4 linked regions of the Drosophila melanogaster genome follow. The protein of the gene in region 1 interacts with the protein of each later gene in a pairwise test. Each region holds a gene or a part of one and is shown in the gene's direction. Other genes may lie near its edges.

Evidence for each region.
Region 2: the proteins of Cdk5 (region 1) and Tengl3 interact in a two-hybrid assay, tested with the Drosophila melanogaster proteins (one large-scale study listed by BioGRID).
Region 3: the proteins of Cdk5 (region 1) and Sf3b3 interact in a two-hybrid assay, tested with the Drosophila melanogaster proteins (one large-scale study listed by BioGRID).
Region 4: the proteins of Cdk5 (region 1) and Nubp2 interact in a two-hybrid assay, tested with the Drosophila melanogaster proteins (one large-scale study listed by BioGRID).

What each region holds. Positions count from the first base shown.
Region 1 is NT_033778.4:15,568,882-15,573,774, reverse strand, and holds Cdk5 (Cyclin-dependent kinase 5), read left to right. Parts: upstream 1-2,357; 5' UTR 2,358-2,472; coding exon 2,473-2,640; intron 2,641-2,704; coding exon 2,705-2,892; intron 2,893-3,052; coding exon 3,053-3,417; intron 3,418-3,479; coding exon 3,480-3,643; 3' UTR 3,644-4,236; downstream 4,237-4,893. Other genes in the region: CG8204 (uncharacterized protein), read left to right, coding at 42-109, 165-325, 384-586; CG30466 (uncharacterized protein), read right to left, coding at 849-962, 1,018-2,097, 4,237-4,260; Flo1 (flotillin 1), read left to right, coding at 4,605-4,656. UniProt on the Drosophila melanogaster protein: Probably involved in the control of the cell cycle. Interacts with D1 and D3-type G1 cyclins. Possible regulator of neuronal differentiation and/or development.
Region 2 is NT_033779.5:2,236,200-2,240,053, reverse strand, and holds Tengl3 (testis EndoG-Like 3), read left to right. Parts: upstream 1-1,802; 5' UTR 1,803-1,846; coding exon 1,847-2,017; intron 2,018-2,079; coding exon 2,080-2,922; 3' UTR 2,923-2,978; downstream 2,979-3,854. Other genes in the region: Tengl1 (testis EndoG-Like 1), read left to right, coding at 1-583; Tengl2 (testis EndoG-Like 2), read left to right, coding at 689-862, 926-1,708; Sec24CD (secretory 24CD), read left to right, coding at 3,513-3,746.
Region 3 is NT_037436.4:826,963-835,334, reverse strand, and holds the start of Sf3b3 (splicing factor 3b subunit 3), read left to right. Parts: upstream 1-1,949; 5' UTR 1,950-2,075; intron 2,076-2,125; exon of another isoform or gene 2,126-2,273; intron 2,274-2,359; 5' UTR 2,360-2,394; coding exon 2,395-2,620; intron 2,621-2,695; exon of another isoform or gene 2,696-2,848; intron 2,849-2,927; coding exon 2,928-3,293; intron 3,294-3,326; exon of another isoform or gene 3,327-3,465; intron 3,466-3,544; coding exon 3,545-4,019; intron 4,020-4,092; coding exon 4,093-4,427; intron 4,428-4,606; coding exon of another isoform or gene 4,607-4,614; exon of another isoform or gene 4,615-4,713; intron 4,714-4,823; exon of another isoform or gene 4,824-4,898; intron 4,899-4,993; coding exon 4,994-5,301; intron 5,302-5,342; exon of another isoform or gene 5,343-5,483; coding exon 5,484-7,457; 3' UTR 7,458-7,458; intron 7,459-7,491; exon of another isoform or gene 7,492-7,571; intron 7,572-7,637; 3' UTR 7,638-7,689; intron 7,690-7,714; exon of another isoform or gene 7,715-7,798; intron 7,799-7,865; 3' UTR 7,866-7,912; intron 7,913-7,951; exon of another isoform or gene 7,952-8,023; intron 8,024-8,098; 3' UTR 8,099-8,153; and 4 more. Other genes in the region: CG42553 (uncharacterized protein), read right to left, coding at 5-556, 617-943, 1,000-1,158. UniProt on the Drosophila melanogaster protein: Involved in pre-mRNA splicing as a component of the splicing factor SF3B complex, a constituent of the spliceosome. SF3B complex is required for 'A' complex assembly formed by the stable binding of U2 snRNP to the branchpoint sequence (BPS) in pre-mRNA.
Region 4 is NT_037436.4:20,524,333-20,528,410, forward strand, and holds Nubp2 (NUBP iron-sulfur cluster assembly factor 2), read left to right. Parts: upstream 1-2,243; 5' UTR 2,244-2,321; coding exon 2,322-2,432; intron 2,433-2,505; coding exon 2,506-2,948; intron 2,949-3,260; coding exon 3,261-3,489; 3' UTR 3,490-3,578; downstream 3,579-4,078. Other genes in the region: Pss (phosphatidylserine synthase), read right to left, coding at 1-181, 1,154-1,494. UniProt on the Drosophila melanogaster protein: Component of the cytosolic iron-sulfur (Fe/S) protein assembly (CIA) machinery. Required for maturation of extramitochondrial Fe-S proteins.

The sequences.
Region 1 (4,893 bases):
CAGCTGAGTTTTATTTTGCACGCGACATTGAATTTGATGAGATGGAAAAATGCATTATTTGCGTAGATAACTTGAGAAAATACAAGTGCAGCAAATGCTCGGCACCCTAGTAAGTAGCTATTCGAACAGTTCACTACGGAGATAATAAATGTCGCAAAATGTAGCTGCTCTGTGGCTTGTTATAAGACACACAGGGATTCGCCCCAATGTGCGACAAGGGAGTCCGACTTGAAAAAGACTGAAGTTGGCTACCAGGAGGAACCTACGCTTCATGTGCCCTTCCCCACCGACGACACAGTTGCCGCGGAGAAGCTCCAGCAACTAGGTAGGTGTTTAAATTCGCAATTATACACATTTCTCATAGTATGATGGTTTCCGTACAGAAAACTGCCAGGAACTGCGTAATTTGCTCCACAATCCACACCTGCGTTCGCTGCTCCAGCAGATTGATGTGGCCATCAATGCCCAGTCGGCCATGATGGCCGCCATGCAGGAGCCACTCTTCGTGGAGTTCGCTAATGCCTGCCTTCAAGTCGTCGAACCGATGACGGATGCTGAGCGCACTGAATTTGAGTTGTACTCCTGAATTAAGTTGACACACAGTCTCAATAAAACTAAGCCTTTATTTTGTAACTAATAGTACTGTCAATCCTTGGCAGCTTCTAGAGGAGCTTGCATTGAAGAACTCCTGGAAACTTCTCATTGAAATCCGCCGGTAAGGTTGAATCTTTTCCATAACCAGGGAAAACGTACAACTAATTATTTGGCTCGGCCATTTAAAGTTATCTATCTCAGCTGGCATATCAAACTAGTCATCAGTCTACAGCTTCGTTCCTTGGCAATCAAACTCAATCAAAGTAAATTGAAACTGGATCCGAGTTAAAAGTGATTTTTGGATGCTTCATGTGCAACTTGAAAAGCCTATGTTCCCCTTGCACTTTCCAGGTCATGGGGATGGGATCCTGTAATGAAAAATATTAGAAACGAAAGCTAATATAAGTTGTGAAATACTTAGACCTCATTAGACATGAGATACGTGTTTAGTTCCACATAAATATTAAGTGCTGTGGTACGGTTTTCTCCCAGTTTCTTCGCATCGAATGTGAACTCCTTAAATCCGAAGGTGCAATGGTATATACCCAGGACCTCGTGTGTGTTTAGGTTTTGTATTAAGGTATGAAACTTAATTTCGTCCACACAAACCGAATTTTGTATATAAAATTCATTGACATTAATGTGAAGATGCTGATACGCATGCATACCAAAATTAGCCACCTTTAGGGTCTTAATAGCCACATTTAAACCGTAAGTTTCACAAAATATGGATGTATTTTGGCTTATCTCGATCATATTTATAGTGCTTCTCTTCGCAGCTATGAGAATCTCTCTCAGAAATCCGTATCTAACGTGACCACAAAGAAATAGCTTCTTCAAGTGAGTTAGACGTTCCAGTTTCGATAGGAACCACACCATCATTTCCTCCTGGAAGCACTGCAGCTGCTCTAGGTTTCTAATCCCTTTCCAGGGCAGTTCTGTGTTCGAAATCTGGTCAATATCGAAGATACCCAGCTTCAGGGATTTTATTTTTCTGGTTTTCAGGATCTGTATCAAGTTGGTGACATTGAATTTGCTGCAGTAGGAGACCGTGAGGTTCTCGAGAAACTCGAATTCATCAAAGTGTTTGCCAGTAAACTTTCCATGGGGGCTAAAAGTTGTCAGATTTGGAAAAGTTTTCAACATTCTTGGCACGTCCGCATCGTTTAAGTTAAACGAATGCGTGGAAAATCGAAAATCTTTAAGTTTTGGAAAACTACAGCTGGTAAGTGTTTCGAAGTTAGATCTATTATTCATTTTGAGCCGCAGAGTGCTGAGGATTTGTTGAGTACTTTCCAGGAAGAATAGCAAATCCTTGTCGCTCAGCTGCATTTCAATCAAGGATATATATGCACATTTGTTATAAGCACGCCACACATACGGCATTAATTTCTTAAACCGGAAATGAAAGTCTTTCAGTTTTAGTTGGGTCTTCAAGTCGAGATAACTTAGAATTATCATTAGAACATCATCGGGCAGACATAGTAAGCCAGGCTTGGTATTCTGCAAAGGGCAAAAGAAATTAGGAAACTTGTATACTTATATTTCTGCTATATTGTTGCATTGCGGTACCATAAGATCGGTGTTTATCATTGTCGGTCTATATTCGTATGTTTAGCTAATATCGAGTCCAAATAAAACAATAAAATTATAACAAAAGTTTTATCAACATTTTTAAAATGATATCTGTTAATTTTGAGTATTTTTGGTGACAGCAGACTGTCAGCTGCGATGTTGGTTAGTCACCGCGTGCTGTAAGCGAATAACAGTGTGCTGTTAGGCGCACGAATCCCTGGCCAGCAAAAACAAACTGCAAAAACAATAATCCCCGGAGTTTTCCATCTGAACGCAAAATAATACACACCAAAACACAGCAAAATGCAGAAGTACGATAAAATGGAGAAGATCGGGGAGGGCACCTACGGCACGGTGTTCAAGGGTCGCAACCGCGACACCATGGAAATAGTGGCCCTGAAACGGGTGCGACTGGACGAGGACGACGAGGGTGTGCCCAGTTCTGCCCTCCGGGAGATCTGCCTGCTGAAGGTCAGTCGGACGAGCAGGAAGTGATTCCAGTTTATAAACTAAATCGGCACATTACCATCCGTAGGAGCTGAAGCACAAGAACATTGTGCGCCTCATAGACGTCCTGCACTCGGACAAGAAACTCACCCTGGTCTTCGAGCACTGCGACCAGGACCTCAAGAAGTACTTTGACAGCCTCAACGGGGAGATCGACATGGCCGTCTGCAGGAGCTTTATGCTCCAACTGCTCCGCGGACTGGCATTCTGCCACAGGTATACCTATATATGTATCAGCACTGGATTAGGTCTTATCTTGTGTCGATTATAGTTAGAATCAAGTGTTATTTGGAGTAACTTCATCTGTGGCACATTTCCGAATGATATCCATTTTATAGCATTGAGACTTAACTTACGCTACATTATCCTATTTTAGCCATAATGTCCTGCATCGCGATCTGAAACCACAGAACCTGCTGATCAACAAAAACGGCGAGCTAAAGCTAGCTGACTTTGGTCTCGCTAGAGCCTTTGGCATTCCCGTGAAGTGCTACTCCGCAGAAGTGGTGACCCTGTGGTACCGACCACCCGATGTCCTATTTGGAGCCAAGCTCTATACGACCAGCATAGACATGTGGTCCGCTGGATGCATTTTGGCCGAACTGGCGGACGCTGGACGACCGCTGTTTCCTGGCTCTGACGTGCTCGATCAGCTGATGAAGATCTTCCGTGTGCTGGGCACCCCCAACGAGGACTCCTGGCCAGGAGTTTCGCACCTCTCCGACTACGTGGCGCTTCCATGTAGGGATTCTAGACGGATTTTATTTATCGATACCAATATTAAAAGCCTATTTATATTATAGCTTTTCCGGCCATCACCTCGTGGAGTCAGCTGGTACCTAGGCTAAACTCCAAGGGACGCGACCTGCTGCAAAAGCTGCTCATCTGCCGGCCAAATCAGCGAATTAGCGCGGAGGCGGCGATGCAGCATCCCTACTTTACGGACAGCAGCTCTTCGGGACATTGAGGTCGGAAGGTTCTTTCCAAGCCACTGTTTTCACGACCTTTGATTAGACTTAAGCCAAAATGCGAGACTTTGTCCAGCAAAGATCTTTTAATTATATATGTATGTCCTTGCAGTAGAGTTCGATTATAGTATAAGATAAAAAGTTCTTTATAATTTCATTAGTTTGATTTACCAAAGCAAAAGGTTTGATTTATGACAATCCCTACCAATGTGACACTTAATATAGCCATTTGAGCTGCCAAATTAACATTTATCGATAAAATACTTATTGATTCAGTAAAATAGTTTTATTCTTAAAAATTTTTATGTTGAGTGTATCGTTAAGATCCGAAAATTGTTCAAATTCCTAGACGATATCTACTGTTTGTGTGAATGTGGAAAAAATATTTGAAATCCTAGTTTCTGTTTTCAAAGACTAAAAACTAGGCAATACATCTGGTTTCCAAATTTAATGAGTGTCGACGATTTTCTTATTACATTTATTGTGTATTTTTAAGAATTTCGATCTTTCTGAATGATATGAGTCATTAAGTAAATTAGAATAAAAAAAATTGAGATGTAACCTAGATTTTTAAACCAATAAAGACACTTACCGCAGCACTACGTCGTCGCAGCATGATGAATATTTTGAAGTGGTCGCCTCAACCCCCGGCACTCAATAGGGGTTAAAGTCGTTCTGCGCACTCGCGAGTTAGAAATTGAGAACTTTACAGATTGAGAGATTTTTTTATTGTGCTACGAATTGCTAACCGAACCGGTCGGATTTCTGAATCTTAAGCACCGAGTACCTCGGAAATTCTTTTATATATATTATTAGACGAATAAACAAGGCTACCTGTGGATCGGATAATTCGCTATATAGTTAATAATCGGAAAACTGTGTTAACCGCGCAGATAAAACAAAAGCTGTTATCAGCAGCAACCCATTTTCTAATATAAATAACAAATAAGTGCTGCAGAAATGACTTGGGGATTTGTAACCTGCGGCCCCAACGAGGCTTTAGTTGTCTCTGGTAAATCACACGATCCTTATATGCTCAAAATAATGTCAAATCGATTAAATAAATAAGTCAGTGAATAAAAATGAAATTGTCACGCACACACACATATATATACACCCCACCCCAAGTGACGTCACTATCGATTTTTGTGTACCGCAAATGTTGTTGTTGGGATAACAGGGGAAGAAGCTGAATATGCGGCAGTCCGAAGCCATGCGTGCGCATTTGAACGGCGTTGCGGTGCTGTTA
Region 2 (3,854 bases), on another chromosome or scaffold:
GGATTCCACATCCGTGGCTCCAGCTGGAGCATTTGGACAGTCGGAGGCAGCCAGGGTATTTTTCCTGTCCAACATTAGGCCCTTTCTAAACAGAGGGTTCAATCTCACTGTCTGGGATCGACTGCTGCAGTACGTCCATGAGATGAGTCAACGACATGGAACCGTGTATGCCTACACCGGATCAATTTACTTGCCCCGGGAGCTAAAGTCGAACAGTTGGTTCCTGGAGTTCCAGTCGGAGGAGAGAACCATGGTGGCCGTACCCACCCATTTCTTCAAGATCCTGGTCATTGATAAGAAGTTCGCGGGCGATACCATTCCCTATGCGGAGGCCTATGTGATGCCCAACTCTCCGCTGAACAACAATGTCGAACTGAAGACGCTTCTCAGCGATGTCCGGGAAATAGAAAACGCTACTGGTCTACGGTTCTTTGAAGGACTCGACCGCAACTTTGTCAACACCCAAGCATCAAATTCATTTGTCCCCTCAGTAAACGGTCCTTTAACAAATCCGTTAACGTTGCCGATGACTAATGCCTTAGACAGTCACAGTGCCCTCACATCAAGTATTTCTCCAAAATAGAATATAAATACATATATGTTGAAGGAGACAATGATGGCCATGAGAAATCCTTCAGATAAACAATGTTTTATTTGCTTTTGAGGGGTAATTCACAGAGCCCATTTCATGGACCGAAAATGGCAGCTCCTGGGACTGGGTTTCGTCCTGGGAGTGACTGCGCTCTGTGCATCCTTCGTGGGTGGAATGTATTTTCAGCACACAGATGCCAGAAAACGCCTGCGGGAACTAATACAAACGGATCCCTATGCCTACTATCTCAGTCCCAAAATTTATGAAGTGGTAACCAATACTGTAGTAAAAGAATATAAGTAACACTTGCACCAAAATAATTTCCCTAACCAGTTTACTTTCTTTGAGAGCAATAATGAAGACGATCACCGGATGAGGCAGATCATGAAGTTTGGGTTCCCTGGCCTGGATGACTTGCGTCTGTATAGTGACTTCGTACTATCCTACGATCGCCGAAACCGAGTGGCCCACTGGGTGTGCGAGCACCTCCAGGCGGACAGCATACATCCGAATCGAGGCAGACGTGGTCGCAACCCATACCAGCCGGATTTGAGTGTTCCCTCCAACTTCCGATCGGAACTGAGCGACTATCGGAGATCTGGATTCGACCGAGGACACTTGGCAGCCGCAGGAAATCACCATCTGCAACAGAATCACTGCGAGGATACGTTTTTCCTAACGAATATTGCCCCACAAGTGGGCCAGGGCTTCAACCGAAGCGCGTGGAACAACTTGGAACAATATGTTCGAAATCTGGTCCACCGATTTGGATCCGTTTTCGTGTGTACTGGTCCACTATATAAGCCCAATCAAAGACCGGGAGGTAAGTGGGCCGTGGAGTACGAGATGATCGGACTGAATATGGTTGCAGTTCCGACGCACTTCTTCAAGGTGATCATGGTGGAATCAAAACTGCACCTGGGTAAACCCTATATGGAGGGCTATGTCCTGCCCAATGCTCCAATACCAGATGGTCTGCCACTACGATCGTTTCTCTGCGACATCCGGGAGATTGAGCACTACGCAGGTCTCAAGTTCTTCGATGGTTTGAGAAGGAGTGCCCTATTCGGCAGCAATTATCCAAGTGAATCTCGAGTTTTTCGCGAATTCAGTTAGTGGAGGGATCCCAATCGTTAAATATATATTTAACTTAACTGCAAGCAGGCTATCTTCTTCCGACTGACATATCGACAAATTGTTACATTACACACTTCATCAAAGAAACACTACACGAAATTATTGTAAGGCCCACTTATGTCCTTTAGCGAATCAAATGTTCATCAGTGGGCTTTATGTGCCCTTGCGGGAGTAACCGGGTTTGTGTGTGGAGCCTTTGTCCAACAAGAGGCGTCCATAAGGCAGCTGCTCCAGCAGATTCGAAGGGATCCCTATGTCTACCATCATCGTCACAAGTTATATCCGATGGTGAGCGATATGAAAAAGTTAGAAATGTTTGTAAGATTTTAATTCTAATATTTTCCCACAAGTTATCCACCTTTGGGACAGACCATGAGGCCCGTTTGTGGAATCGTCCTACTTCATGGGCCGACAAATTCAGGGAGCTGGTATTATCACCGATCCTCGATTTAGTTAGTGCTACTGTGACGCTGAAATGGGATTCGGCAACCACAACTGATCTGCTCGACCTAGTCAAGTATGGACTGCCCAGCACGGAGAACTTGTACGTCCATAAGGACTACGTGGTTTCGCAGGACCTGCGCACGAACGGCGTCAGATGGATTTGTGAGCATTTCCGTGGGGATTATCAAAGGGTATCGTCGGATGGAGGCGGATATAGCACCATGAATCTTCGCTACAATGATGTGTATGTGCTGAGCTGCGGTTCGATGAGCATATGCAAGGCGTTCAAGCGGAAAATCTGGAACGATCTGGAGAACTACGTGTCCAGCATGGCCAAGGAGTTTGGCTCAGTGTACGCCTACACTGGGCCGATATACACCCCAACATGTTACGAGATTGGCAAATGGACCATGAAGTATGAGGTGTTTGACTGGATTCCGATACCAGTGCCATCCCATTTCTTTAAGGTATTAATCGTGGAGAGTGGAGTTCCGGGATCCCAACCCTTCATGGAAGCATTTATCATCGAAAACAGCCGAAGGGTTGGCGGCAAGTTGAATGACCACCGCGTCAAAGTAGGCGAAATAGAGCGTTACACAGGACTGCGATTTAACAAGATCATGCAACCCGTAGTCCAATTCGGGAAGGACTCATTTACGGTGGACACCAGGGCTTGGGCCGGCAGGTTGGAGGAAATTTCTGAGCCTTTGGTAACATTTCCTCCCGACCAGAAATTAAATTTAATATAAACCCCTGAATGTAAGGAATATTTTGATAAAATTGTGAAAATATACATATTTATTTTAAATGTACTTTGATTATATCTTATTCACTTATTTATTTTAACCCAACGTATTTAATGACGTCACTGCATTCTATTGCACCACCTTACACATAACATAACTCGCAGCTGTTCGCTAACAGCAGCGCTGTTAAGTTCAACACGATTATCGATTCGGCGATGGCAGCCGAAAGAGCACAATCGATTGACATTCGATTTTCCACTGCCGATTACCGATAGCTTACGTGGCAAGGCAAAAAGAGCAAAAAAGATCGAATTAGGGAACTGACGTGGAAGTTCGTTTAGCTCGAAATTATTCTTGTTTTTCAACCAGCGATCGTCCGCCGCGGCCGTCGAGAGTTGAGGCCAACACCGAGTGGCCAAAATCGAGGAGTCAGTGGTCAGGAATCAGGCCGAGCAGCCCCCGAAATTGCTAAATCGCCGTGGCGAACTTTGAGCCAATCCGTGTGTGTTTTCTCTTCGTTTTCCGTGAAAGTTGTTTGTTGGCTTAGCGTCGACCCTCTCCGCTAAAACCCAGGTGATTAATCCGGGCCAGAAATGAATCCGAATATGTACGGGCCACCGCCCACGCAGTTCCAGCAGCAACCCCAGTTTGGGGCTCCTCCTCCGAATTCCGGAGGTTGGCCACCGCAGCAACAACAACTACCGCAGCAGCAGCCGCCGCAGCAACAACTGCCTCCGCAGCAGCAGCAACAACAACCACAGTACGGAGCACCACCACCAACGTCGGCGGCATCCCAGCCTTACCTCAATGGCAACTACCAGCAGCAGGTGAATAGATAGCCTTAACCATGGCAGCTTTGACGAGAATCGGAAGACAATCCGGTTGCACACGTCAAATATATGTGTATTCCCTTCAGCTTCATTCTGGCAATAGCC
Region 3 (8,372 bases), on another chromosome or scaffold:
ATACCTGCATCTTAGCTGATCTCACAAAGGCCTTATTCGAAGTCACAGTGAAAATTTGCCTGGCCATGCCGAAACTAAAGATTTTCAGACTTCGCTCGTTTACGTTGGCAGTGAAACGTATGTGGGAGAATTCTTCGGGTATTGTTTCCACATCCGGATAAACGGTGACCCGTTTCATCAGTTCCTCGGCTCGCTTCCGTTCGCCCTCGCCGCCTACAATATCCAAAATACTCTGGAAGGCATCGTAGGCTAACTGGCAGCAGACCAAGGTTTTTCCCTCTAGGATTTTCTCGAGGAGCGGTTTTAGCGGCGAGGCTCTTTCCCTTTCCGCCTGTTCGGTGAGCAGAGGTTCCTTGTAGACCCAATTGGCGGATCCGTTGGTGAGCGCACTAACGTAGGCCAGCAATGTGGTCACATCTAGATTCAGTTCGTTCGACGTCGTGGCGTACATATCCAAGTCGGTGTCTGGTGAGTCCAGGGAAGCAGTTTGTACGCCCATTTCCATTAGCTCTTCATGCAGGGAGTCCTCGATTTTGTTGGAGAAGTAGAATACTATCTAAAAGGCAGTATATCAGATGATGAATGCTGTCTAGGGTAGCATACTATTAGGCATTACCTTCGGCCTCTGGAACATGCAGAAACTAAGTTCGCTGGCCTCCAGATAATCCTCCGCCTGGTCGATGACACTTCGGGCTCCGATGCTGACACATCCCCTGGCCGCGTCCTCGACGGACTTCGAGTTCCTGGCTATCACCTTCACCCACTTGAGTCCATTGTTGGCCACGATGTCGACTCTCAGGGGACTATCCCTAGACTCCAGGCGGAATACGGCATTGATGTCGACTACTCCTTGTTGCAAACGCAGAGTTTTAATGAGAAAATCGTAGTAAACAAAGTTACTGCTGGTTATGTGGTGTTCCTTTACGGACCTTGTAGTAATCACCTTGAAGGAAAATGCTTTTACTCAATGTTTTTATCATGAAAAATAGGCAAACAAACCTTATTTAGAAATTTGAGCTCTTGCTGAATTTTTCGCTGTACTTTGCTGACACCAGGCAAATCTTCGAAGTCTTTCAGCGCTTTCTTCAGCTCCTCGCCCAGTTTTACTTTCTTGTGGGCTTCTTCGTAGAGCTTTTCTCGATCCTCTTGCTCCTCCATATTAAAACGTTAGCAATATTTACAAAAATCACGAAATATTTGTTTTTAGCTGTCAGCTGTTTTGAAGAAGCAAAGATGCAATGACATTTCAGGTTTTACAACACTGACAATTCCATGACTGATTAGAGATGTCGCGAATCTGAAGTTGGTATATCGATAGTCAACAAACCTAGTTTACTAAGTAATAATTGATGATTTTTCTAATTAGTCTAATAACATGAGCCAACGCCGCGTAAAAATATACTCAAGTAGAGATCGAATAAACAGAAAAAAATAGTTGGGGACTGATCTATTTATTTTTTTTAAATACCTTTAAAGTTTTCTCCTTAATCATACCTTAATAGCATAGTATTGAGCCCAGCCCTTTAGCCACAATTCGGTGAGTGGTTTTGTTTTCATTTAAGCCCATGATAAAAATTTTTTAAGTTAAAGAAAGATAAAACGATTGATCCAGTACATATTTTTACAGATCCTTGAAATTTTCCATTTTTTCACAGAAAATTGCATATTATATGTTTAGCTTTTGAGGCAGTTTTTGGTATGTGGAACTGGGATTGGCCCATGGCAATTTCCGAATATTTAAATGTGGTATATTTAATAAAGGATAAATTCGATATATCTTGACCAGGATTTTTAGGAAACTTATGATTTCTGCAGCAACAATTTCCAGTAAAATAATTATTTAATTTATAATCAGTCTGAACCGGGCCTATTATCGATAGGAAAATCGACGGCCGCGCACTATCGATAAGTCAAGCCACATTTTATGCACCACCATTTTTACTTTTATAGTTCTTTTACTTTTTGTCGGCGAACAGAGCAGATGTGAAAATGAAGAGTTCTGAGTAATCAGGAAAATTCGAATCCAAAGGCATCGCTGGTGAAATGTGCTAATTCATCCATTTAACCAGCCGAAGGTAAACAAATACACGTGCTAGCACTGATATCTACTATTATTTAAGCGCTTTCCGCACGAAGTATCTCCAGAAATCAGAAATGTCTGTGCTTTGGTCGCATTTGAAGCGTGCTAAACTAAGAATTAAATGCTGCTTACTAGCATCGTTAGGCGACACGACTTTCCATACTGTGGCCATGGTTTTCAAAGTAGTACAAATTCACAAAAAAAAAAATACACCGCCATTCACGTGACTTTTTCCCTTGTCTGCAACTGTACCTAACCTCAACATTGCTTCTCTTGCAGTCGTGGACAAAAGTGAAAGAGTGTAGTGCTCCACCATGTATCTGTACAACCTGACCCTGCAGAAGGCCACCGGCGTGACCCACGCGGTCCACGGCAACTTCTCCGGCGGCAAGCAGCAGGAGGTCCTCCTGTCGCGTGGCAAGTCGCTGGAGCTACTGCGTCCGGACTCCAACACCGGCAAGGTGCACACCCTGCTCTCCACGGAGATATTCGGATGCGTTCGCGCCCTGATGGCCTTTCGACTGACGGGCGGCACTAAAGGTGAGTCTTTCAATTGTAATTTAGTTTTGTACCATCAATTGGGAGTAATGTATTGCTCCTATATAATCTATGTAAGTCGCACAAATCCCTATTGAGGCAACAGACGGCTAGTTGACCCCAGTAAGACCTTTGAACGCGTCTAAGTGCGAGAGAAACCGAAAGACTTGACGTCGCATTTGCCATAAACCAACTCAACGGAGTGGCGAATTGAAACTTCGAGTTACAAAGTCAATAAAATATCATTATAGTCATTAGAAAGTGTTAAATGTATGACCCTAATCTCGAATATCGTTACCTTGCTTTGCAGATTACATAGTTGTGGGCTCGGACTCGGGACGCATCGTGATCCTCGAGTACAATCCCTCCAAGAATGCTCTTGAAAAAGTGCACCAGGAGACGTTCGGAAAGTCGGGATGTCGCAGGATTGTGCCTGGGCAATACTTTGCCATCGATCCTAAAGGAAGAGCCGTGATGATTGGCGCCGTGGAGAAGCAAAAGCTGGCCTACATCATGAACCGGGACACGCAGGCTCGCCTCACGATCTCATCGCCCCTGGAGGCCCACAAATCGAATACACTGACATACCACATGGTCGGCGTGGATGTGGGCTTCGATAATCCCATGTTCGCCTGCCTAGAGATCGACTACGAAGAGGCCGACATGGATCCATCGGGTAAGCATCAACTAGGTGGCGTGTAGACCCTAGAAGGCGCTTTAATTCACAGGTTTAGTGGATCCACACCACGAACACTGACTGTACTTAGTGCCAGATAAATCGTGATCACTGAACCATTGGTGTTGCTGTAATTGCCTAGCCACACTTCACTGATTTGTGACCCACACTTCCTAATCTCAATTGATAACATTTTGATAGTACAATGCTATAGTCCTGTAACTAATCAGTGTCGCATCTATTTGTTCCAGGTGACGCCGCCCAGCGCACTCAGCAAACGCTGACTTTCTACGAGTTGGATCTCGGCTTAAACCACGTGGTTCGCAAATACTCGGAGCCCTTGGAAGAGCACGCCAATTTCTTGGTATCCGTGCCTGGGGGCAACGATGGTCCTTCGGGCGTGCTGATCTGCTCGGAGAACTACCTAACGTACAAGAATCTCGGCGATCAGCACGATATCCGCTGTCCCATTCCGCGCAGGAGAAACGATCTGGATGATCCCGAACGTGGTATGATCTTCATCTGCTCGGCCACACATCGCACCAAGAGCATGTACTTCTTCCTGCTGCAGACCGAGCAGGGAGACATCTTTAAGATCACCCTGGAAACGGACGATGATGTGGTCTCCGAGATCAAGCTAAAGTACTTCGATACAGTGCCGCCGGCAACTGCCATGTGCGTGCTAAAGACGGGTTTCCTGTTCGTGGCCAGCGAGTTTGGCAACCAGTGAGTATCTACAAATCATTCATTTGAGAATAATATGAATGGGTACTAATTGAGGTATTTGTGTAACCCTCAGCTATCTATATCAAATCGCTCATCTGGGTGACGACGATGACGAGCCGGAGTTCAGTTCGGCCATGCCTTTGGAGGAGGGTGAAACCTTCTTCTTTGCGCCACGTGCCCTAAAGAACCTGGTGCTTGTGGATGAACTGCCCTCTTTCGCACCGATCATCACCTCCCAGGTGGCTGATCTGGCCAACGAGGACACACCGCAACTGTACGTTCTTTGCGGACGAGGACCGCGTTCCACTCTGCGGGTGCTGCGCCACGGCCTCGAGGTGTCCGAGATGGCCGTTTCCGAACTGCCTGGTAATCCCAATGCGGTTTGGACTGTGAAGAAACGAGCTGATGGTGAGTGTGTCTGCGGGCATTAATCATGATTCCTAAGCTAAGATTAGACTAAGACTGAAACGTGGCTAATAACTCAACTGGTGCATTGATACAGATCGAGATATAGATTACACCTAGCTTTACGCACGATTCCAAACAAGTCCCACAAGTTATCAACCACCAGTTCTCTCTTATTTCAGGCGCTTAAACACAGACGGCAATATGTGTGAACTATCGAAAAAGACAAGCGATTAAAGAGAATTTCTCTCGTTTGTGTAATTTTAAATTGTCTTTTGTGAAGCGATAGGTAAGGCAACATTTACTGCAGCTCATAAGTCAAACAGATACTACAACTACCACTGCTACTATACCAATGAAAACAGAACAAAAGCTAACTATATTTAAGCCAGTCGGACATTGAACATGATGCGATATTTATCAACCGTGTTTCAGCTGAATTATCCATTGATTACAACTTGATAAACTGATTATTCAATGTCTTGTGTGATACGCAGATCTTTTTCGCTTGCTCGATTCAAACTGAAGTACTCACGTTCCAAGTATTGTTTTGCTCCCCTATTTTTTAGACGAGTTTGATGCCTATATCATCGTGTCCTTCGTGAATGCCACCCTGGTTTTGAGCATTGGCGAAACCGTCGAGGAAGTCACGGACAGCGGTTTCCTGGGCACCACGCCCACGCTCTGTTGTGCCGCCCTGGGCGATGATGCGCTGGTTCAGGTTTACCCCGATGGCATTCGACATATCCGATCCGACAAGCGTGTGAACGAGTGGAAGGCTCCGGGCAAGAAGTCCATTACCAAGTGCGCCGTGAATCAGCGCCAGGTGGTCATCACCTTGTCGGGCAGGGAGTTGGTCTACTTCGAAATGGATCCGGTAAGCAATTCTACTACTATATTACACTCAACTGTTGACTTCTTGCTCTGATGACAAAAACACGAAAAGAACAATCATGTTGAGACACTATGTGTCCTGCAGTGCTGAGCTTCAAAATCAACCAAAAGCCTTATCCTCGTTTACTTAACTTCACAACTAATGAATACATTTTATGCTTGCAGACTGGGGAGCTGAACGAGTACACGGAACGTTCCGAGATGCCTGCTGAGATTATGTGCATGGCCTTGGGAACTGTTCCGGAGGGCGAGCAGAGATCCTGGTTCTTGGCCGTCGGCCTGGCGGATAATACAGTGCGCATCTTATCGCTGGATCCCAACAACTGTCTCACTCCCTGCTCCATGCAGGCCCTGCCTTCGCCAGCCGAATCCCTTTGCCTGGTCGAAATGGGTCACACGGAGAGCACGACTCAGGGAGGTTTGGATGACGATGCTCCCGCTCAGCGCAGTGGCAACAATAAGGGAACCATTTACCTAAACATTGGCTTGAGCAACGGTGTCCTGCTGAGAACTGTGCTCGATCCTGTTTCCGGAGATTTGGCAGACACCCGAACGAGATATTTGGGTTCCCGACCCGTAAAGCTCTTCCGGATCAAGATGCAGGGATCCGAAGCGGTGCTGGCCATGTCCAGTCGAACCTGGCTGTCGTACTACCACCAAAATCGATTCCATTTGACGCCTCTGTCTTATGAAACCCTTGAGTATGCTTCTGGCTTCTCGAGCGAGCAGTGCAGCGAAGGTATCGTGGCTATATCCACCAACACCTTGAGGATCTTGGCCCTGGAGAAACTGGGAGCCGTCTTCAATCAAGTAGCGTTCCCCTTGCAGTACACTCCACGTACCTTTGTAATCCATCCGGATACGGGACGCATGCTAATTGCCGAAACCGATCACAACGCCTACACAGAGGATACGAAGAGTGCCCGAAAGGAGCAAATGGCGGAGGAGATGCGCAGTGCAGCTGGCGATGAGGAAAGGGAGTTGGCCCGCGAAATGGCCAATGCTTTCATCAACGAAGTCCTTCCCGAGGACGTGTTTTCGTCGCCCAAAGCAGGACTGGGTCTTTGGGCCTCGCAAATCCGTTGCCTGGACGCAATGCATGGTCAGACGATGTTTAGTGTGCCGCTCACCCAAAACGAGGCCATTATGTCGATGGCCATGCTGAAGTTCTCCATAGCGGCTGATGGCCGGTACTACCTGGCCGTGGGAATCGCCAAGGATCTGCAGCTGAATCCCAGGATTTCGCAAGGCGGCTGCATAGATATCTACAAAATAGATCCCACTTGCTCCAGTCTGGAATTCATGCACCGCACGGACATTGACGAGATTCCTGGAGCCCTGTGTGGCTTCCAGGGTCGTCTACTAGCTGGCTGCGGTCGAATGTTGCGAATCTACGATTTCGGCAAGAAGAAAATGCTGCGCAAATGCGAGAACAAGCACATTCCCTATCAGATTGTCAATATCCAAGCCATGGGTCATCGTGTTTACGTGTCGGATGTTCAGGAATCAGTATTTTTCATACGCTATCGTCGCGCGGAGAACCAGCTGATTATATTTGCCGATGACACGCATCCTCGATGGGTGACGGCCACCACCTTGCTGGACTATGATACCATAGCCATAGCCGATAAGTTTGGCAACCTGAGCATTCAGCGATTGCCCCACTCCGTAACGGACGATGTGGACGAGGATCCAACGGGCACCAAGTCTCTGTGGGATCGTGGCCTGCTGTCAGGTGCTTCACAGAAGTCGGAGAACATTTGCTCCTTCCATGTGGGCGAGATAATCATGTCGCTGCAGAAGGCAACGCTAATTCCTGGAGGATCGGAAGCCCTTATATACGCCACGCTAAGTGGCACTGTTGGAGCATTTGTTCCGTTCACCAGTCGCGAGGACTACGACTTCTTCCAACATCTGGAGATGCACATGCGCAATGAGAATCCTCCACTCTGTGGACGCGACCATCTCAGCTACAGGAGCTCGTATTATCCGGTCAAAAACGTACTCGACGGCGATCTCTGCGAGCAGTATCTGTCCATTGAGGCAGCCAAGCAGAAGAGCATAGCTGGCGACATGTTCCGCACTCCCAATCAGATCTGCAAGAAACTGGAGGATATTCGCACGCGATACGCCTTCTAAGGTGAGTTGGAATCGATATGCCTATGGGACATAGGTTTTTGTGATGACATAGCTATTTTACCTTGGGACACCTATGAAATGCCTTGATTAGCGTAAACGTCAATATCTGATAAATACTTTGCTGAATTTAGTCTTTTATGATTATTGAACAGAAAGCTAACAATTGTTTATATTTTGCAGATGCCAGCAAAGGAACACTTCAATATCATGGAAACTTTTCTTTTTTAACTAGGTAAGTTGGTTTCTATTTATAGTTGTTTTCAATGATGATTTTCGAGTTTTACCTTGGGACACCTATGAAATGCCTTGATTAGTGTAAAGTTATGTTTTTCTGATAACAAATTCAAGCGTTTATTGATTGAAAAGCAAAGAAATGTTATTAATTTTGTATTTCTCTTTCTATTGCAGTTTTCGTGGGCAAAACCAACAAACGCTGCACCTAAAACGTTTTAAAGGTAAGAAATTGTAACGATTAAGCCACATTTTCGTTGAGTTAAACAATGATGTTATTTTACATATGTTAGACTAATGAAATGATTTGATTGTAAATTAGTAACTGAGAATGTTTTTAAAATTAAAAATTTCAATACTTATTTATGATAATTACTGGATCGATTAGTAAATTGATGCTTTCTTTGCAGTTTAATCGGAAAATTCCAATGACCATTAGACCATTACATTAGGAACACTTTCAAGGTACGTAATATATATTTAAACCACTTCAATTTAAATAAGCTCTATGATGTTATTTTACATATGTTAGACTAATGAAATGATTTGATTGTAATTTAGTAACTGAGCTTATAGCTATATTTCACTGTGTTTAGCATTTTAATCGTGGTTAAATCATAACTAATTTCCTTTCTTCACTTGCAGATCTTCTTACGTTGGGGTATGTTGTGGCGCTTAATTCTA
Region 4 (4,078 bases), on another chromosome or scaffold:
GAACATCAGGAATTGTAGCGTCAGCAGGTACAGCACAGAGCATCCGAATAATATCCGCCAGACGGCGGGATGGGGTCGTGTGAAGGGTCCATTGGGAAATGCAATCACCGAGACGATCAGAAAGAAGAACACAATGCAGAGGAGGCCGGCCCAGAGATTCTCATCCACGTTCGCCTCGTTTCTGTAACGAAAGCGCATTGCTAAATGGATGATCTTGGCTTCCATTAGCGCTACTATTTCAGTCATAGTATTCCTTATCAGCATAGCACGTTTTTCGATGGGGTTTGGGGGTCAATGGCACGATGAAGTGAACGTCGAGTACATTACGTATGTGCCTTAGGCGATTCTACTTTTATATACTGTTCGCTAGACTAGCGCATATATATATAATTTTTTTTATTTTTTTTTTTTGGCTTTTTTAAACCTTCGGCTGTCTGAGTTGACACTTTTGGCAGAGTATTCGTGATATTTTTAAGTGCTTAACCCGTGTACATCAATTGATGTGTGAACTAAGAAGGCACATGGTGCAGATATATGATTAAAAAGTATGATTTCATCGAAAGTTTTTTGGCGATAAGGGACTTAACAGGGTAGTGAAATCCAATCATTTTTGATGAAACGTCAATTATAATTATAAAAAATTTATAAATAATTATAACAAATGAAACCTTTTGAAGATGCTGATACATTGAATAATTGGTTCTATCTCGCTACCAGCCAATGCAAATAAACTATTGTTACTAAGGGGATTTACTACAGAACAGTTATGTAATACTGATAAGGGTTAAGACCAGTACTATAGTTCTAAACGTGCCTCTCATAGTAATCAGTACTGACAGAAATGGATTTACAAACTCTTTCTTATCTAAAGATTCTGTCGGTTCAAGGAATACCCAATATAATATAATATAATATAATAAGATGAAGCTAACGAGCGCACCAAACCCGCATAAACACCCAATGGGTTAACAAGCAAAACTCAACGATTTTTCAATGCTATCTCAGCTGACAAAGGCAAAGTTCTAAGATCGAAATGAATACAAGTGAACCGATTGCGAGCTCGCAATGAAGTTGCGTTGTATTAAGGATCGAATAACCTTCATTGGTTATCACGAAGGGGTTCCCCTGCGGGCTCATGGGCTCATCTACTCACCTGACGAACGCAAAGTACATGACGGCGAGCACCGAAACAGCCAGCAAGGTGATGGTGTGTGGCTTGTAGAAGAAGTCCAGCGATATGTCGTCCACGGGACGTTCGTTGACGATCACAAATGTCTGGGCGATCTCGTCCTTGCGCTTCCTGCGTGCTCCCGCGCTGCTGACACTGCCATCGCTGCCATCCCGTCGCTTGGTGGGCGTGGCAGGGGCACTGGCCGCGCCTGATTTGTAGGCGGGATGATCCCGCTCAGCATCGCCGGCGGAGGAGAAGGAGGTGTCCAGTAGCGCGTCGCCCGACGAGGTCGGGGTGCCACGTGAATTAGTGCGCTTCTTCATCGCCTAACTACAAATTCGATTATCAAATGTAGGCGGGTGGCGTGATGTGGTTGTTGTTAGGTGGTTGGTGGCTCGGAATCGGTTTGGTGGCTAAGTACATGCGGGGACTGAAGGTTGCGCAACATTCGATTCGATTCCACCAAGACTTGCCACTCGGCTCTCCTCGCAGCGGTTTCTATGGCTCCCGGCTCGAGTGACCTCGATTGCTATGGCGTGGGCACGGCTCCTGGATCCTCGACTCGCGTTCGATCGGCGCACGTTTATTTTATCATTTGCCAGCTACCGTCCGTTGTTGTCAATTAACATGCTGCGCGCGGCTTGGACCAATAAAAATCGACACTTGCCGGCGGTGGTGTTGCCGGAGGGTTGAAATGTGTGACTTGATAACAGGGGCGTTGCCAGATGAATAGCGGAACGTTGGGGGTGATCCAGGTATCTTATGATGACAAATATTTTGTATATTTTCAGATCGTATTCGAAAAGCAGTCATCACCCTACTTTATAACAAGATTATATTGTCACTATTTTAGAGTTATATAGCGTTAGTTATATAACTTAGTTCTTTACCTTATTTTTTCTATATAATAACTTTCTAGGCAGCATTTATGGCATTCCCGAGGATAAAATGATTTTTTGTTTACAAACAGTCAAATAATAATGAGGTCACGCATAACATTATTCAGATTGGATATTTCAACATAGTGGAATCCTGGAACACCCCTAATGCTATGACTGTAGCCCTGAACAGCTGATTGCACTTGTTGACTAAAACGCAATCCACGACTTTGCATTGGTTTCGGAATAAATTGCTTTTAAATCGCTTTATAATGCTGGACAAGGTTAAAAATGTTATCGTAGTGCTATCAGGCAAGGGCGGAGTAGGAAAATCCACAGTGAGCACCCAATTATCGCTGGCACTGCGAAAAAACGGATTTAAGGTAAGCCAAACCATTTCACCACAAAAACATTACCGATGAATTTTGAATGGTACTCATATGAACAATCTATTAGGTTGGTCTGCTCGATATAGATCTGTGTGGACCGAGTGTGCCATATCTATTGGGTCTGGAAGGACGGGATATCTTCCAGTGCGACGATGGATGGGTTCCTGTCTATACAGATGAATCCCAAACCTTGGCGGTGATGTCCATTGGATTTTTATTGAAGAACCGTGAGGATCCGGTCATTTGGCGTGGTCCCAAAAAGACCATGATGATCCGGCAGTTCCTCACCGACGTCAGGTGGGATGAGCTGGATTACCTAATTATCGATACGCCACCCGGCACTTCGGATGAGCACATCACCGTAATGGAGTGCCTGAAGGAGGTTGGTTGCCACGGAGCCATAATTGTGACCACACCGCAGGAGGTGGCCCTGGACGATGTACGCAAGGAGATCACCTTCTGCAAGAAGACCGGCATCAATATCCTGGGCATCGTCGAGAATATGAGTGGGTAAGTTATTTGAGTTTGTTAAGCCGCAAGACAGACAACAAAATAGGATTCATTTTAATTTGTCCTCAAAAAATTGGAACTCCAATGCAATGCAACGAGAACGATATCCATCCCTGACTGAAAAGAGTTTTACAAGCTTCTGATAAGCATTTCTACTGTATTTGATGCTGACTAATTGAAAATGCAAATATACATAGATATTAATTGGACGCCTTTGCGTGTCAAGTTTACGGCAGGGCGACACCTGTGGACTTTAACCAGGTGATAATTATCTCATGTTTGACTAAATTATCTTATATTTGATTGTCACAGGTTCGTGTGCCCCCATTGCACCTCGTGCACCAATATATTCTCGTCAAACGGTGGCGTCTCACTGGCCACTTACGCCCAAGTACCACATCTAGGAACTCTGCCCATAGATCCCCGTGTTGGCATTTTGGCGGGCACCACTACGTCCGTCTTGGATGAGCTTCCGGATTCCACGACAGCGGAGGTGCTGACGCATATAGTTGAGAAGTTGAAAACGATGTTGGTCTCCTAAATAAATACCAACATAACAATTTTGTAAATATGATAGCTTGTTTCATTATTCAGTTTATGAATATAACCATTTTCTTCAGGAAACGATTTAATTTGCCATGGTATTTAATTGGTAAACTTAAATAGGGACTCCCATTGTTAAACACATTTTAGCTTTTGTTTAGCTTTGGTTTCTTTTTCTTTATTTTTGTATGCTTTGGAATGAATGTAGTTGATGAGTTTTGGGTATAATAATTTAAAATTATATGAGTGCGAGCGTTTGATATGTAATCACTCTAATGCAACAATTCTGCGTGTGCAGTAATTATAATTTACAATCAAACTAATACTTTCCAATTATAATTAATAACGTATTCCTTAACTGCTTAACTCCTACTGCTAAACCTAATCGCTTTATTTATTGATTTGAGCATAGTTTAAAGATCAAATTGTATGCTTATCTCTGGACTGACGACAAAGTATAGTTTCTTTTCCTAAGTAGTACTATCATGCAGACTTCATCCACTGTTTTGGTATAATTTTTAAGATCAAAAATCAGTCTGCAGGAGGATGGAATTCACACAGAGAAAAAACGAACTGATAAACTGAGA